Linked DNA regions of Astyanax mexicanus. The protein of the gene in region 2 interacts with the protein of the main gene of each other region in a biochemical or structural test. Links are inferred from orthologs where the notes say so. Each region holds a gene or a part of one and is shown on either strand. Other genes may lie near its edges.

What was found. The genes of interacting proteins can lie anywhere in the genome.
Region 1: the proteins of bmpr2b (region 2) and bmp2a form a complex in vitro, tested with the Homo sapiens proteins (4 studies listed by BioGRID and IntAct, with this or other methods). The link is inferred for Astyanax mexicanus from reciprocal best matches to the Homo sapiens genes BMPR2 and BMP2.

The regions. Positions count from the first base shown.
Region 1 is NC_064421.1:16,604,813-16,612,297, reverse strand, and holds the start of bmp2a (bone morphogenetic protein 2), read left to right. Parts: upstream 1-4,466; 5' UTR 4,467-5,363; coding exon 5,364-5,715; intron 5,716-7,485. Other genes in the region: gdf3 (protein DVR-1), read left to right, coding at 962-1,232, 2,345-3,165. UniProt on the Homo sapiens protein: Growth factor of the TGF-beta superfamily that plays essential roles in many developmental processes, including cardiogenesis, neurogenesis, and osteogenesis. Induces cartilage and bone formation.
Region 2 is NC_064418.1:35,543,634-35,551,587, forward strand, and holds the start of bmpr2b (bone morphogenetic protein receptor type-2), read left to right. Parts: upstream 1-4,859; 5' UTR 4,860-6,253; coding exon 6,254-6,335; intron 6,336-7,954. UniProt on the Homo sapiens protein: On ligand binding, forms a receptor complex consisting of two type II and two type I transmembrane serine/threonine kinases.

The DNA of each region.
Region 1 (7,485 bases), on a different chromosome or scaffold from region 2:
TAACCATCAAAAAAAAGCTGATACCATTATTTTTCACAAGCAGGTTTTGCTAGCATGACAATTGGTCTACAAGCATAAATTATCATCTTACAGATATTACATTTGGAACAATAAAGACATGTTATTTAAAAATGCTGGAATTGTTATGGTAAGACAGTTGTAAAACAAAAAAATAAGCTATTGTAATTGCTGCAGTTCCCAAATGTATAACGTAATTTTTAAAGGAATTGTTGGTTAACAGATACAAATCTGTCTGAAAAAAAATATTTTCAAAACATCTTTATTGACAACATTAATATTACAAAAAATGAATGCAGTAATAAGGTAATTAGAAATTTTCTCTGTCAATGGCAGCAGGCAACAGCAGAAATGTATTAACGTAGTATTGGTGTGCTGAGTATCAAAATATAAAACAACACTTTACCAACAATTTTATTTGTATTATTAAATGTTATTTTTAAATATTTTTATTTCTTATCATTATCTCGTGGTACTCTTGCTGTTGAAACAACAATAGACATTACCATATTTCAAACACATTTCACCCTTGAAGGTTGGTTGTTTGCCAGCTGGGAAGGATAAAAAAGTTCCTTATTCCTAATGTTGACCTAGCTCTCTCAGTTCTCACAATGAAACCAAGAATAAAGGTAAAGCCAAAGAATAAAGGTAGCCAAGGTAAAAAAATAAAAAGGATAAACTAATTAGACCTTTACTCTGTCTGTCCCTGTCAAAGCAAACTGGAAGTGATGGGCTAATTGGATTTTTTTAGCTCCGTTCACACGTACCTTCAAACGCTCCTAATTTGCACAACAATTCAATTTATTCCTTGTCTAATCGTCGCGCCTTCGTTGTCTCGGCCAATCAAACGTCAGACCGCACGCAGGCGCACTTTTTAAATGATTAATCTGGACGCCTGCAGCCGGCAGACTCGTTAGCGTTCTCTGTTCAGTATCTGCTCACTATGGCGGTTTTTAGGCTTTTATTTCTGTCGTGTTTCTGCTCGTTTGGACTTATTGACAGCACGGAGGACGTGCAGGTTCAGGAGCAGCTGTTTTTAAGTTCTCTGGGTCTTTCCAGTCGGCCGAGGCCGTCAGCTCGGGGTCCTGTGCCCTCACTACTGTGGAGGATCTTCAAGAAAACCGACGAGAAGCGACCGGATACTGACCCGGATCCGTGCACGGTGCCGGAGTACGGAGTGAGGGGCAACATCGTCAGATATGTCCTGGACCAAGGTGAGCTTCCTGCCCCTGCCCCTGCCCCTGTTCTCACCACAAACCTCCCTGTGCCCCATTAACCCATCATTAAAGGAGAACTCCGGTGTAAAATGGACTTTTGGTTTAGTAAAACATGATAAAAAGTACTTAACATTGATGAATAGCACACCTCTGCTCTCCCACAGCGCTCCGAGATCCAGAAATTAACAATTTGTCCAAACACCCTTCAGACTGGGTGACACGGGGCAAAATCTTCCACAATAAATCGCTTTTTCCACCGTTATCATGGCTCAAAGAAGCTCCACAACTTATTGCTAGAATCCGGAGAGCCCTGACATTTAAAACGAGGCATTAATAACTTAAAAAGTAGACAAGAAGCTTATTAAAAAGCACTGTTTACATCCTATAACCATAGCTTAAGCTCTGCATAGCCTGCCTTCTGGCGCCGGCTGCTTTGCTATGCGGAGTGTGTGTGTGGATATATGTATGTTTTAAATCAAGTTATTTTATTATTTTTTTTATAATAAAATATATATATATAATTTTATTTATTTATTTTAAATTCTTAGTCAATTTCTATTAGTCTAGTTCTTTATATATGTGTATAGTTCTTAGTCAGTTGCTCCTCTAATTGGTTTACTTCTTGAATAGGTCATCAAATATTGCTAAAATGATTTTATTTACAGATGTATGCAAGTTTAATCATTCTTGTTTTGTTTTAAACTTTTTTTTATATATGAAACATGTGCATGATTACTGGTATTTGTATCATTTATCATACATTATAAAAAGAATAGCAAAGATAAAAAGGCATAGGAACATTGTATTGTTTTTAGTTTGTTTTTCCACTGTTGGTCAGTAAATATTCTGAGAAATACAGGATTTTAAATTAGTTTGAACCTGGAGTCTCAATATTTGCTACAATCCCTAGTGTAGCAGGGAGAATTGGTTTGATCACCTAGCTAGCCAACCACATCCTGCTGGGTTAAGAGTCTTTAAGCAGAATCCATATACTTTGCATTTGCCTACCTGTGTAACATGATATAAATTATTGGTGTTTGTTTATTTATTTATTTTTATATTTATTTATTGAATAAATATTGAACATGATCTGTTATCTTTCTCAACAGGTAGACTCATTTCTGACTCAATCAGCCACGGTGTGGAGAAGCATCTTTTTTTCAACATGTCTGTTCTGGAGGATGTGGAGCAGCTTTCTTTTGCCCAGCTTGAGCTGAAGTTCAAGCCAGACCTTTCCCACTTGTCCCACCAGGTTGGTCAGCATACTTTCAGCATGCACCTCTACAAGGTCTTGAGGACCTCACTGAAAGGCATGAGCCATGACTCTAGCCGCAGACTGCTGCTCTCCCAGTCTGTTCATTACACACACAGCACTACCGTCCACTTCAACCTGACCGACCTGGCTGAATGGTGGAGGAAGCCAGGCAAGAACTTTGGGCTGGTGCTTGTTCTGCAGTCTACTCGGCTAGACAACCAGCTGGACCCAGTGGACTATGACTCTAGTTTTGTGGGGGTCCCTGAACTGGTCACGTCACTGGTGGTTGTGTCTCTGAACCCTTACCAGTGTAGATCGAGGAAGAAGAGAAGTGCCTACTATGTGCCTGTGAGCCCCAGCAATGTGTGCAAGCCCAGGCGCCTCTACATCGACTTCAGAGACGTCGGCTGGCAGGACTGGATCATCGCGCCCCAGGGCTATGTGGCCAACTACTGCCATGGAGAGTGTCCTTTTCCACTTAGTGAGAGTCTGAATGGGACTAACCACGCCATTCTGCAGACCCTGGTCCACTCCTTTGACCCAAAGGGGACGCCTCAGCCCTGCTGCGTCCCGGTCAAACTGTCTCCTATTTCAATGCTTTACTATGACAATAATGACAATGTTGTCCTCAGGCATTATGAGGACATGGTGGTGGATGAATGCGGCTGCAGATGAGCTACATTTTTGTTTGTTTGTATTTTACGAATGGAAAATAATAAAAACTTGCCTTTTTTTAAACAAAAAATAACCTACCTTGTTTCAGATTCTTCATCCCATTTTTAGACATTTGTTAATTTAAATCCAAGGTTCAGTCAGTCCAATAAGCAAAGGTGGCAAATAACAAAATAAAAAAAAAACTTAAATTGTTTTTGACAAGTTTTACAGAGATTGCATGTTTGATTTATTAATTAATTTATTTTAAATTGCTGCTTTTATACATGCATTTAGGCCTCTTACTGTGTGCACTGCTGTTGGTATGGCCCCTGAAAAGTCTCAGTTTACAAGTATACCAGTACAGTTCAATCACTCGTGGTGTTTTCAAATCTATAAGGACAACAATGACTGTCAACACTGTCAAAAGTTTTCTGAATAAACTATATTTACCACCAGTAAATACCTAAACACCAACACAGTTAAACAGGAGAGGATTGTTTGTTAATTTTAAGTGGGTGGAGTACATTTTTAAAAGAGCAAAATAGAAAAATAGTGAACTTTAGTATTTTTAATTGTTTAATTTAATTCAATTGAGCTCAAAGTGTGTATACATTTATTCTCATTTTTAATAAAAAGGGAATAAAAAAAATTAGAGGCCCCTGTTTAAAGACATGCTTTTTACTTGAGTAATACAAATCATACTTCTACTATTTTTACTTGCATACATAAAAGTACAAATATTCAATTTTATGTACTTAAGTATGAGACTTGGCCACCTCTGCCAACAGAAAGAAAAAAGCTGAGGGCCGTTTCTGTTGGGAATCCTCAACATTTGGACCGAAGATGAATAATTGAGAAACTGAGGTTTGCAGTATTTTGAGGCTTGAGGATTAAGGAGACCAAAATGATCACTGGCCCTCCAGGACCAGGATTAAAGAACCCTGCAGTGGTGCTGTGCTGGTGTGGGAGATGTACTTCTCAATTCCCTCCACTGGTTGGTGCTCTATAACCAGATTTGGTCTATTGTAGTGGAACACAGCAGCAATTGAGTTAGTAAAAATAAATATTTCTGGCTGAATTCTGCTGTATTTAAGGTAGGGTGGATTTTATGATCCTAAGGCTTTATATGTAAGCTGTATTTTTTTGCTTCTTTTTAGGAGAGATAATGGATCATGAAGGGAGAGGAGGGAATTTCATCAGTCATCTCATGTGTTGGATGTACCTGTACCGTTTCAACCACTGGGAACCCGAGCACCACACCATTATTAATCCTTATTTGACAGCATGGATAGGGTGGTGTTTGATTTTCTTTTCTTTTTTTTTTTTTTCTTCCTTCTTTTCTTCTTTGCTCGCTGTGTTCATTCGTGACATCACTGAGCCACTAAAAGCCACATGGGCAGAAGGAGAGAGGAAGAGAAGGAGAGAGAGTGTCAGTGAGAACAGTGCGCACACCAGACTCCACCAAGCTCTCTCTTTCTCTCTCTATCTGTCTATAGGAGGAAAACCAGACCTTCTGCTGCTCTTCTGACTTGACTTCAGGAGGTCCATGCGTTTGGGAAGCTCTCAGAGATGGATGTTTTGGATGGAGGACCCTGAGATGGAACCAGCAATGATTTGAAAGGAAGTAGCCAATTACTGGTGCTGGGCAGCTGAGTTCTGAAGAGTTTGGAGTTCTTCTGCTGGACTTTCTCCTCTGGAGCTAGCAGTGCGTGCACGTAGTTAGGGCACGCGCGTACGCACACACGTTTACGCGCGCATACTGCATACACCCACCACAGCACTCAAGGTCTCAAAACACAGTTGGACTCGATTGGACAAGGTGGTGAAGGTAGACTACAACTTCTGGTACAATCTGGATTGATTCTTCAGTGGAGGCTTCTACATCTTATCTTCCTCTACTGATGGACAGACTGCGAGTGCTTGGTTAGAACCTGCTGAGGAGGTTCTCCAGTTCTTTATCTGGGACTATGACTTAGGGTCCCAACCGTCTACGATACGCTTGCGTGTTAACGTCCAGCAGACGTGAGCAGGATGAGGTCCAACTTTAGAAGCTAGAAGAAGAATAATAAGAAGAAGGACATAAAGGAGGAGGAGGACCCACAGTGACGGACATGGCTAAGTGGTACCGGAGACGCCAAGTGGACGCGCGCCTCTGCCCGTGCCCGTGTGATTAAGCGCCACCAGCCCCCAGGTCTTGACCGACCGGGCGCTGGGTGACCATGCGCTCCGCCGCGCTGCGCCGCGCGCTGCCCCTCCTGCTGCTGCTACTGGCTTACGCGCGTCTCGGGGGCTCCGCGGGGCTCGTGCCCGAGCCGGGCCGCAGGAGATACGCTGCGCCCTTGTCGCAGGACACCCTCAGCACCTTCGAGGCGCGACTCCTCAGCCTCTTCGGCCTCAAGCAGAGGCCCACCCCCAGCAGGTCCGCCGTGGTTCCGCGCTACATGCTGGACCTGTTCACTGCGTACTCCGCCAACGCGGAGCCAAAGCACGGCGCGAGCAGGCGCGCGCTCGGGAGAGAGTCCGAGAAGTCCGCCAGCCGCGCGAACACCATAAGAAGCTTTCACCATGATGGTAAGCGAGCAGAAATTGAAAAAAAAAAAAAAAACTATCGCGTTAGTGTTAATAATATAAACAAGGTCAGTACAATACATTATATTTTCATAGGGATCAAGATAAAAGTGCGAAAATAATAATTGCATCAAAAGAGAAAGCTCTACATGCTGCATACTAGGGCAGTACGATAAATCATATTTTTATTGTTATCATGATATGAGTTTCCATGATAAACCAAAAATCCCCAAAACTGCAATAATTGAAATCAAATTGCATTACATACAGCTCAGGACAAAATTAAGAGACCTCTTGTGATGAGTTTCTTTGATTTTACCACATTAAGAACCTCTGGAATATAATCAAGAGGAAGATGGATGATTACAAGCCAACAAATTAAGCTAAACTGCTTGACTTTTTGCACCAGGAGGGGCATATAGTTATCCAAAAGCAGTGTGTAAGACTGGTGGAGAAGAACATGCTAAGATGCATGAAAACTATGATCAAAAACCAGGGTTATTTCACCAAATATTGATTTCTGAGCTCTTAAAACTTTATGAATATGAACTTGTTTTCTTTGCATTGTTTGAGGTCTGAAAGCTCTGCATTATTTTGTTTTTTTTTCAGCCATTTCTCATTTTCTGCAAATAAATGCTGTAAATTACAATATTTTTATTTGGAATTTGGGAGAAATGCTGTCTGTAGTTTTTAGAAAAAAAAAAACAGCAATGTTAATTTTAATCAAACATATACCTATAAATAGCAAAATCAGAGAAACTGATTCAGGAAATCAAGTGATCTCTTAATTTTTTTTCCAGAGATGTTTATGCAGCAGAGAGATCTCTTTATTCTGGAGACAAATTGTATAAATAGATAAATTGTATTTTTATTGTTATCGCAATACAAGTTTTTTGGATAAACACATCCAAAAAGTTGCAAAAATGCAAACTCAAACTGCATTACCTGTGCAGCAGAGGGAGCTCTTCATGCTGCAGACTATGATCATGTGACATAGCAAATTAAGGTGGAGGTAGAGCTATAAGATAAATCATATTTTATTGTTTATTTATTGCTAAAAATGCAATAATGCTTTTCACATTGCATTACCTTCATTCCTCACAAGAGAGAGCTCTTCACACTGCGGACTATAATCATGTGACATAGCAAATTAAGTTGGCGGTAGAGTGAGGTCGAGGTCCATGGTAAAGATACAAACACACCAATCTAAATTACTACTTATCCTGGGAGAAAATAGGTAGAGAAAAAACTCATTTTGTTTATGGAGATGTTTGCGCAATCTTGGTTGTGCAGAAAACGCAGTGTCCTCACTGAAAATAAGGAACAGGTGTAGCCAGCCAGCCAGCCACCAACACCAACAGGGCAGGAGAAGGAACACGGGCAGCACATTCCTGCAACCACTCACAAACACAAATGTTCTGTTCTGTTCTGCTCTCTGAACACCTCTTCCCAATTCTTAGCCCAGTCAGGTTCTTTAGCATGCATAAATAGAAGACAAAATTATATATAAGGCATATATACGTATATACATAAATAAATATTAAAGTGACTGCACAGTTCAAACATAACTGTGTAATAAGAAGAATAAGCAGTTTGCAAACAAGTGGATATTTGCCATTAAACCATGCATTCATTTTACTTTCTGCAAATGTATTACCTAGACAATCCATATAGTCTTTCAATTAAAAGAAAGGCTTAAGAATTGTTTTTCAGAAGTGCCTTTGAACTAAATGAAATAAAAGCTTGATTTGTTTTGATCAGAAACATCTGAAG
Region 2 (7,954 bases):
TTTCTTTGTTGACTCTTGAGCAGTTGTGTACAGTATTGTTCATATTAAACAATTTATGTTACACAAAGTTTCTATTTCACATCATATTTTCTGTTTTTGGACCATTTGGCATAGTACAGGGTCTGTTTGGTCACAACCAAATAATGGTTGTACGGACAATGTACTGTTCCATAAATAATACAATAATATTAACTTTATGTTAAAAACATTCTATAATATAATAGCATAATAAAGTAATTGAATTCTTTTAACATGTTATGAACCTTTAATTATTAAGCTAGCTCCAGAACTGAAATATAAAATGTTTGTCACATAGGCCAGACACAAGACAGACACATGCAGATAGGATTTATAAATAATGAGGGACAGGCAGGGTCAATAACCATATGGGAGCAAATATAAACAACATACCAGTGAGAGTAGTCAGGCAAGCAGGGGTCATTCATGAAGTATCCAAAAACAGCAAGAGAGGAGACAGAGATGCATGAATAGGTCGGCAATAAATTAAACAATAAACTGAGCAAGGTGCACTATAAAAAAGGGTTGCCAAAAACAAAGGAAACACATCCTAGAAGAGCTAGAAAACTAACTTAAATTCTCAGCAAGGAGCAAAGCAAACTGAGGAATACATATGCAGGGGAGAGCAGGTGGAAACAATCAGTAGCTCGGAGAGCCAGAATGCTGTAGTGTCACGTGATCAGTGGAGGCGGTGAAGTCTGGTGTGTGTGCATGCTGAGAAAAGGAGTTTTGTGCAACAAGTTCAAGAGTCTGGAGCAGGCAGGCTGACACCATCTGGACTGATAAATTTTTAAATACCATTTATAAATAAAACTTAAATAATGGGCTCTCCTTATTTATAAATAAAACATAATGGGTGATATTGAGGTCAGCAAAAAGGATTGAGGGTAATGCACATATATATTATCAAAATTATTGATGTATACTAATTACTAGTACTATTATTTTGAGTATGTAGTATTTAGTACAATGTATCAAGGTGTCAGAATTGAATACACTCAATTTTGCTATGCATACTAAGAACTGATTGTGGTTGTGTTTTAAATGTGGTTTAGATGGACACTATCGTCCCATAATGCAATAAAAAAATTGAAAGAGAAGAGCTACTTTATTGTAAGAAATTTATTGTAAGACATATATAGACCTGTCACAATTCCAGCTCTAAGCTCCTCATGTGGAAGTGCTCTTTTATGATGTTTTTAAATGGCAAATAAAGGGGGTGTAAGCAACTAAGGTGTGGGAGAGTTTATAACTGAACTACGACACTTTGCTCCATGCCCATTCACACTGCTGCTTAAACACCAAATACCACTGCAGACCCTGTGCTGGGTTTAGCAGTTGCTGATTTTTTGCTGTGTAAAGACAATGAAATGTTATCACTACAGCAAGTTAAACTGGGATTTTTCAGATCCTTTTTTTTTCAGAACTGTTGATAATAGATTCCAAACATGACATGGGTATCACATGGGTAATGATTATCAAGAAATTGTGATCTGATGCAGACCTACAAGGAAATGCTGAAAGGTGGCTTTCCACACTGTTAAACGTATAAGAGACACCCCTCGTGATGGACCTTCAAGAAAAGGTTTTTAGAAGAAAATGTTTAGTAAATGTTTATTAAAGCACCTTCCAGTTTCCCACTGCAGGAACAGGGTTGGAGACCCCTGGTGTAGAGAATGTGAGGGTACTGCATTGGGCCCCCATGGAAAAGTAATGCAAGAACTGGTATACACTGTACCCAGCACTTCCAGACAGACCAGAGTCCCACCCACTAGAAGTCAAAACATAACTGCTTAGTTATTCTGTTACTTTTGTATTATGGGTGGTTAATCTGATGTGTTAGGCCTTTAGTTCTGTTCCTGAACTGGAGACAAGGCTACAGAAATGACTTTCGAAAGTCCAACATATGGGGCCTATAATACAAAATTACAATGCCATTATAATGATATTTTAATTTATATTAGTAGTCTTTAAAAATCTATTATTCATAATAATATTATTCACAATAGTCATAAGCTTTTAATGTTATATTTGACAAAGAAATGTTTCATTCTAGAGTTTTAGGAATTCTGGGACTCCACAGTCATCATGTAATACCAACTAGGCAGTCATTGTAAATTATGACTGCTCTTATTTTTAAGAGGGCATTAATAACAAATATGTTCTAGTTGTGGCACCATTAGAAGCTGCAATTTATGATGTTGTAAACATGCTTTCCAGTCTCTCAGAGACTATCAGTATGTTGTTACTAAAAGGTATTTCATTATACAGAGGACCTACTACAGTTTTACATTGTGTGAGCTAAGATTTTCACTGTTAAAATAAAAGTATTTAACTATTATTATTACTATTACTACTATGACTACTACTACTATTATACATTTTAACAGTATATGTCTTTGGTATGTCTTTTGGTATTTTCTTGCAGAAATATACTATATTTGACAGTAGTATGTCAGCATAGCAATATCCTTTTTTGTTTGCATTACATATTTTGAGGTATACCTTAAAACAGGCTTTATTGTCTAAATTATTTGTTAAATATTAAAATAAATTCTGGTTGGGGCTCTGAATCTACACTCACAATGCTTATAGGTAAACGGTGCTTCTCAAAGATAATGATATTATTATTAATAATTAATAATATAGACTATAAGAAAAGAATACACACAGGATATACATTTTTCATATGAGTAAAGTTGGTAAAGTACGTTTAATACAAACCATACTTATAAAAACATAATGTTAAATCAACGTAAATCAGTTCTGGTGCATTAGCTCGGGAAAAATGAACGTTGATTCAACATGCTTTTGCTATTTGGGTAATTATTCAATAAAAAATAACCTCTATTTCATGGTTTGTTTTGTTAAAATTAAATCTTAAATATGTTAACAGAATCATTATTGTATTACAGTGTTTTCAGTTTATATTTTAATACAATTTTGTAGAGATAAATACTGTAAATAGGAGAATTCTGCGAAACTTATTGAGGCAAAACTTTATTTTTTTTTCAAGAAAAAAACATTAGTTAGTGATTAGTTATTTCAGTGTGAAGCTACTGTGATTTTTGAAAGTCAATGTCGTCATATACGATGATGTTAATTCATTATATATATATATATTACATGTTAATTCATTATATATATATATATATATATATAATGAATTAACATCATAATGAAAAGCCAATATATATATATATATATATATATATATTGGCTTTTCATCTTACAGCAGACTGTTTAATAGTGAGCAGTGAACGCCAGGGGGCGCTCGGACCACTCAAATAAATTCACAGTACACTGTAAAGTGTGTAGGAGTAAACTATCACTCCTGCTTTTATACTGCTAGGAGTAAATTAACTGTAAATTCATGGATTTTTTGTTCTTGTTTACTGTAATTCATCCCTTTGAAAGAAAAGTTTTTCTTTACCCATTTTTTAAAAACGGACATATGTTAGTGACTTCATTTAGCTAACTTATCTAACTATAATTAATAGTTAATTATATGAATATATATAATTAATAAACTAGTAGGTAATGTTTGGTAAATTGATTAAAAAACAAGCAAGCAAGCGAGAAATCAAGTAGCTATAATGGCTCAATGGTTTTAAGGCGTCTTAATGTCTCACACGTAGCAAGTTATAAAGACAAGTAATGTTAGGTAACGTTACAGTAAAATGAAGGTTTGCTAGAAAAACAAGAAAAGAATTGATGTGTTGTGTATCCATGTAACTTAGTTAACTAGCTATCTTGTTAGATGGGTATTATGCGTGGATATATAATATCTAAAAATGACCCAAAAATATAATATTACAATATTTCAGTGTGTTTTTGCGACAACAATATTCTTGGCGATATGCCAGAACAAGAGTATACTACAGGAACAAAATATTAGTTTAACAACATATAAAATGTAACATTAACGACAAAAGTGTACCACAAAACTAAAGTGTAGCATATTTAGTGCATGTAAACGGAAAACAAACAATTAACCCAGTGGCATGTATTATATTTTAGGTAGAAACTAAATCACACCACTTTTTTAACATATATACTATATAGAAATTAATACTATTTTTTATTTTGATACACTGATTATTTGAATCAAAACAAAATTGATCTACACAATGATTTTAATAATTGAAAAACCTTGTTTTAGTAAGTTTACAATAGTAATGTAAGAATATAAATTAATACTTATTACATATTCTTGCACATATTCGTATTTTTGATTATGACCCACTTGCACGCCGTATATATATTGATATACGTTGATGCCGATATACTTACAGAGAGAGAAGACACCGTGGTATAACTTTATAACTTTAAAACTAATAAAAAACAATAAAAGTGGAAAAATGCTTAAATCATCACTTGTTTTTTCCGGCATACAGTATATACGTCAGTACGTATGGTTTGAAATTCTGGCCAAATCGGCCGATGCTTATGCTGATGCCAAAGATTCTAAAAAAATCAATTATCGGGCGATACATAATTGTATAGTATGAAATGGTGTAATAACCAAAATATGATTTAAAATTGGGTTAAACGTAAATAAATTAGTTTAAATAGCCATATTACTACAAAACACAGTGTCTTCAAGGATATGGAGTTTTTTTTATCGTGTCAGAATTTTGCAATATAACGTTAATTAGATACGATACGGCACATGCCTACTACTATAGGTAGCTTCAGTAGCTAGATGTTTCTGAATGAGGCGCTAGCTAATAGTAAGTAGCACAGAGACTGAGCTGAGCTCGCTGTGCTCCCCGCTTAGGCTGCTGGGGGCTGTTTAAGAGGCAGAGCAGGGAGGGGAGGAGGGGAGAGGGAGGGGAGACTCGCCGCCCTGCAGCGTCTGTCTGCGGGAACGGGCGAACTTATCGAGCACGGCTGGCTGGCTGGCTGGCGGAGGAGCCGACAGGGGGGGACGAAAGGACTAGACTGTGGAAACGCGTTGCGTTACAGCGAGCTAGCGATACACAAGTGCTTTAGAAGTGAAGTGTAGGACCGTGCCTCTGTGTTTTCGCTCAGTTTTTAGTCGGTGGTGTGTGTTTAGGAGTGTTATCTCGCTGTTAAAGGCCCCGGTTTTGGCTTGGAGTCAAACGCGGAGCCGCTCAGACCGACCCCCCTCCTCTTCTCTCTTCTGCTGCTGCTGCTGCTCCGCTCATGTCTGTCGGGCTTGTTCGGAAAGATTCGGGGCGAGGAGCTCGACGATTTGTGGATTTCTGGCAGATTTTGGGAAGATAGCGGACTTGATAGACTTCTTCTTTGTCGTGTTTTTTTTTTAAACATAAGCCTGTGTCCTAAATAATTGTTGGAACGTAAGTGTTTAAAAAAAGAAGCTGCCAAATGTGTGTTAGGTACTATCGTTAAGCTAGCTAACCTAGCTAGCTAGCTGTTCGTTGCTAGTTAAATTGGCTAGCAAAGCTAGCTGTTCGTTGCTAGTCAGCTAACTAACATAGCTAGCTGTTTGTTGCTAGGTTAGCTAACCTAATCTACCTAGTTAGCTACCTAGCAACGCTAGTTTACCACAATCTCAACGTTCCCAGAAATGGACTGTCGGGACTGTTATCGGGGAACTGAGACACACTGCGGGGACTGTAGCGTTATGTGGTGAAATTTAGATTATTTAGGAACTGTTTACCGGTTGTTGTCATACTAAAGATCTAATCCAGGTTATGTGTGAGGTCTATATATAGTTAGTTAACTAACTAAAGCAGAGACGCGCTGTTGTTTATGGTGGTTTATGGTCTCTATTTTGGTGATTTCTGGACAGCAGCGGATTCTTCGCTGAAGGTAGCTTTAGCCAAGAAATAACATTTAACGACGTTGAAATGGCGATTAAATGTAACGTTAGTTAACGCCAGTTAACCTTAGCTACTTGGAGAAGTCTCTCTCTCACACACACACACATACACACACGAAGTGACTCACAGCTCTCGGTGCTAGTTAGCTGGTTAAACTTTAAACCGATTAAAGTTAACCCTAGTTGACTAACGTTACTTGGTTCTGGTTCTGAAAGCCGGGGAGAAAAAGAAAACCATGCCTCGCCCGTTCACTCTCACACCGCACTGCTGCTCCGCTCCTGCTGGACTCTTCCCTCCCAGCGAATGAGCTCGGATACCCCACTGGAAATAAGGACGAGAAGAGGAGGAAGAAGAATACGAGCGGGGAACGCAGCTGCTTAAAACTTAAAGCAGTGTCCCAACAGTTTAATAAGGAGGAATAAAGCATGAAGGCTATGGCAGTGTTGGGCCGGGTGTCTGTTCTGGCGCTTGGGCTGTGTGCCGTGCTGCTGCTGAGTCCCGTGGCTGGTAAGCGCTTTATTTCTCTCCTTTCCTTCCATTAGAAAACCGGTGTCTTGTTTTGCTGTAACGTAAAGTGATGTGATCCAAGTGTTTTCATTAAAACACGCTTCTTTCGGTCTAAATCGATGCGCAACGACAAGCTATCGCCATTTATTCCTCATGTCGACACTAGCACTGGGCCTGTTTTCAGATCTGTGAGGTTAATTTGGGTGTTTATTGCCAAGACTGTCCGTGTTAATCAATGTGTGTGTTTAAAGGAGAGTGTTGTTATTTTTATTTGGAAAGAATGTTTTTAGGCATTGTATTAATGATTTCTAAATGTTTCATAATGTGTAGACTGAAGGTGATTAAAACAGACACCTTCGTTATCTTTTTATACATTGCATACAGCTCTGGGAAAAAAAGTAAGAGACCACCTCAGAGTTTATTTTATTTTACCAAATTGAAAACCTCTGGAATATAATGATGAGGAAGATGGATGATCACAAGCCATCAAACCAAGCTGAACTTGGTTGATTGATTTTTTGCACCAGGAGTGGCATAATGTTATCCAAAACAGTGTGTAAGACTGGTGGGGGAGAACATGCCAAGATGCATAAAAACTGTGATGTAACTGTGAGTTATTCCACCAAATTTTGATTGTTGAAATTTTAAAGCTTTATGAATGTGAACTTGTTTTCTTTGCGTTATTTGAGGTTTGAAAGCACTGCGTCTTTTTTGTTATTACATATATTTGGAAGGTTTTTTTATCATGTTATGATACAATTGGATGACTGTCTCAAAAATATTCCAGCCTCATGATATCACAGTTTCTTTGTATCACAGTTTCATGGCATCATAGTTTCTGAACATAAAAGTAACAAATTGGAGGGATTCTCTATTCAGTTGCATTTTTTTTTTACCAATACTAGTTTTAAGCAAATATACATGGTCTGATAACATCTGTTTTCATACCATGGTACGACAAACACAGCATACCACTGCGACCGTATTATATTGTAAACATACCTTACGACAAACACAGCATACCACTGCGACCGTATTATATTGTAAACATACCTTACAAAAGTCATGTGGCTTATTATATTAAGTGGTGGGTTTGATTTTGAGCAGGTCTTCTAAAATTCTCTGCATTGGGATTTGAAGATTAAAGATTATTATTTCCATTTCCAATTCATATAGGCAAAACATATATATATATACTTAGCTACATCTGTCTGTAATAAAGGACTGATTGCCAAGCAGTCAGCTGCATTTCCATTCCTTCTAAATGTCAGCATCATTGTTAGGCCCATTATCTAGTTCTGTAAGGTGAATGAATGTGGAGGCACATTGACAAAAGAATCCAGGTTAATAAATTTGTGCTGTTTAAATAGAGTTCATATTTTTACCAAAGGCCTCAAAAGGTCCCCACGGGGTGCTGGTGAAATAGGTCAAAATATGAATACACAGTCATCACTGTAGTCTTGTGTTCAGTAATGTCAGAAAAAAGTACCTCAATGTCTGGTTTCTGTTTAGAGTCAGTCAGTGGGTGAAGTTACCTTTCACCTTTCACTGGAGTCACTTGACGATGTGATGAGATTATGAAGGTACAAGCAGGTAATCTTAAAATGTGTGTCATCACA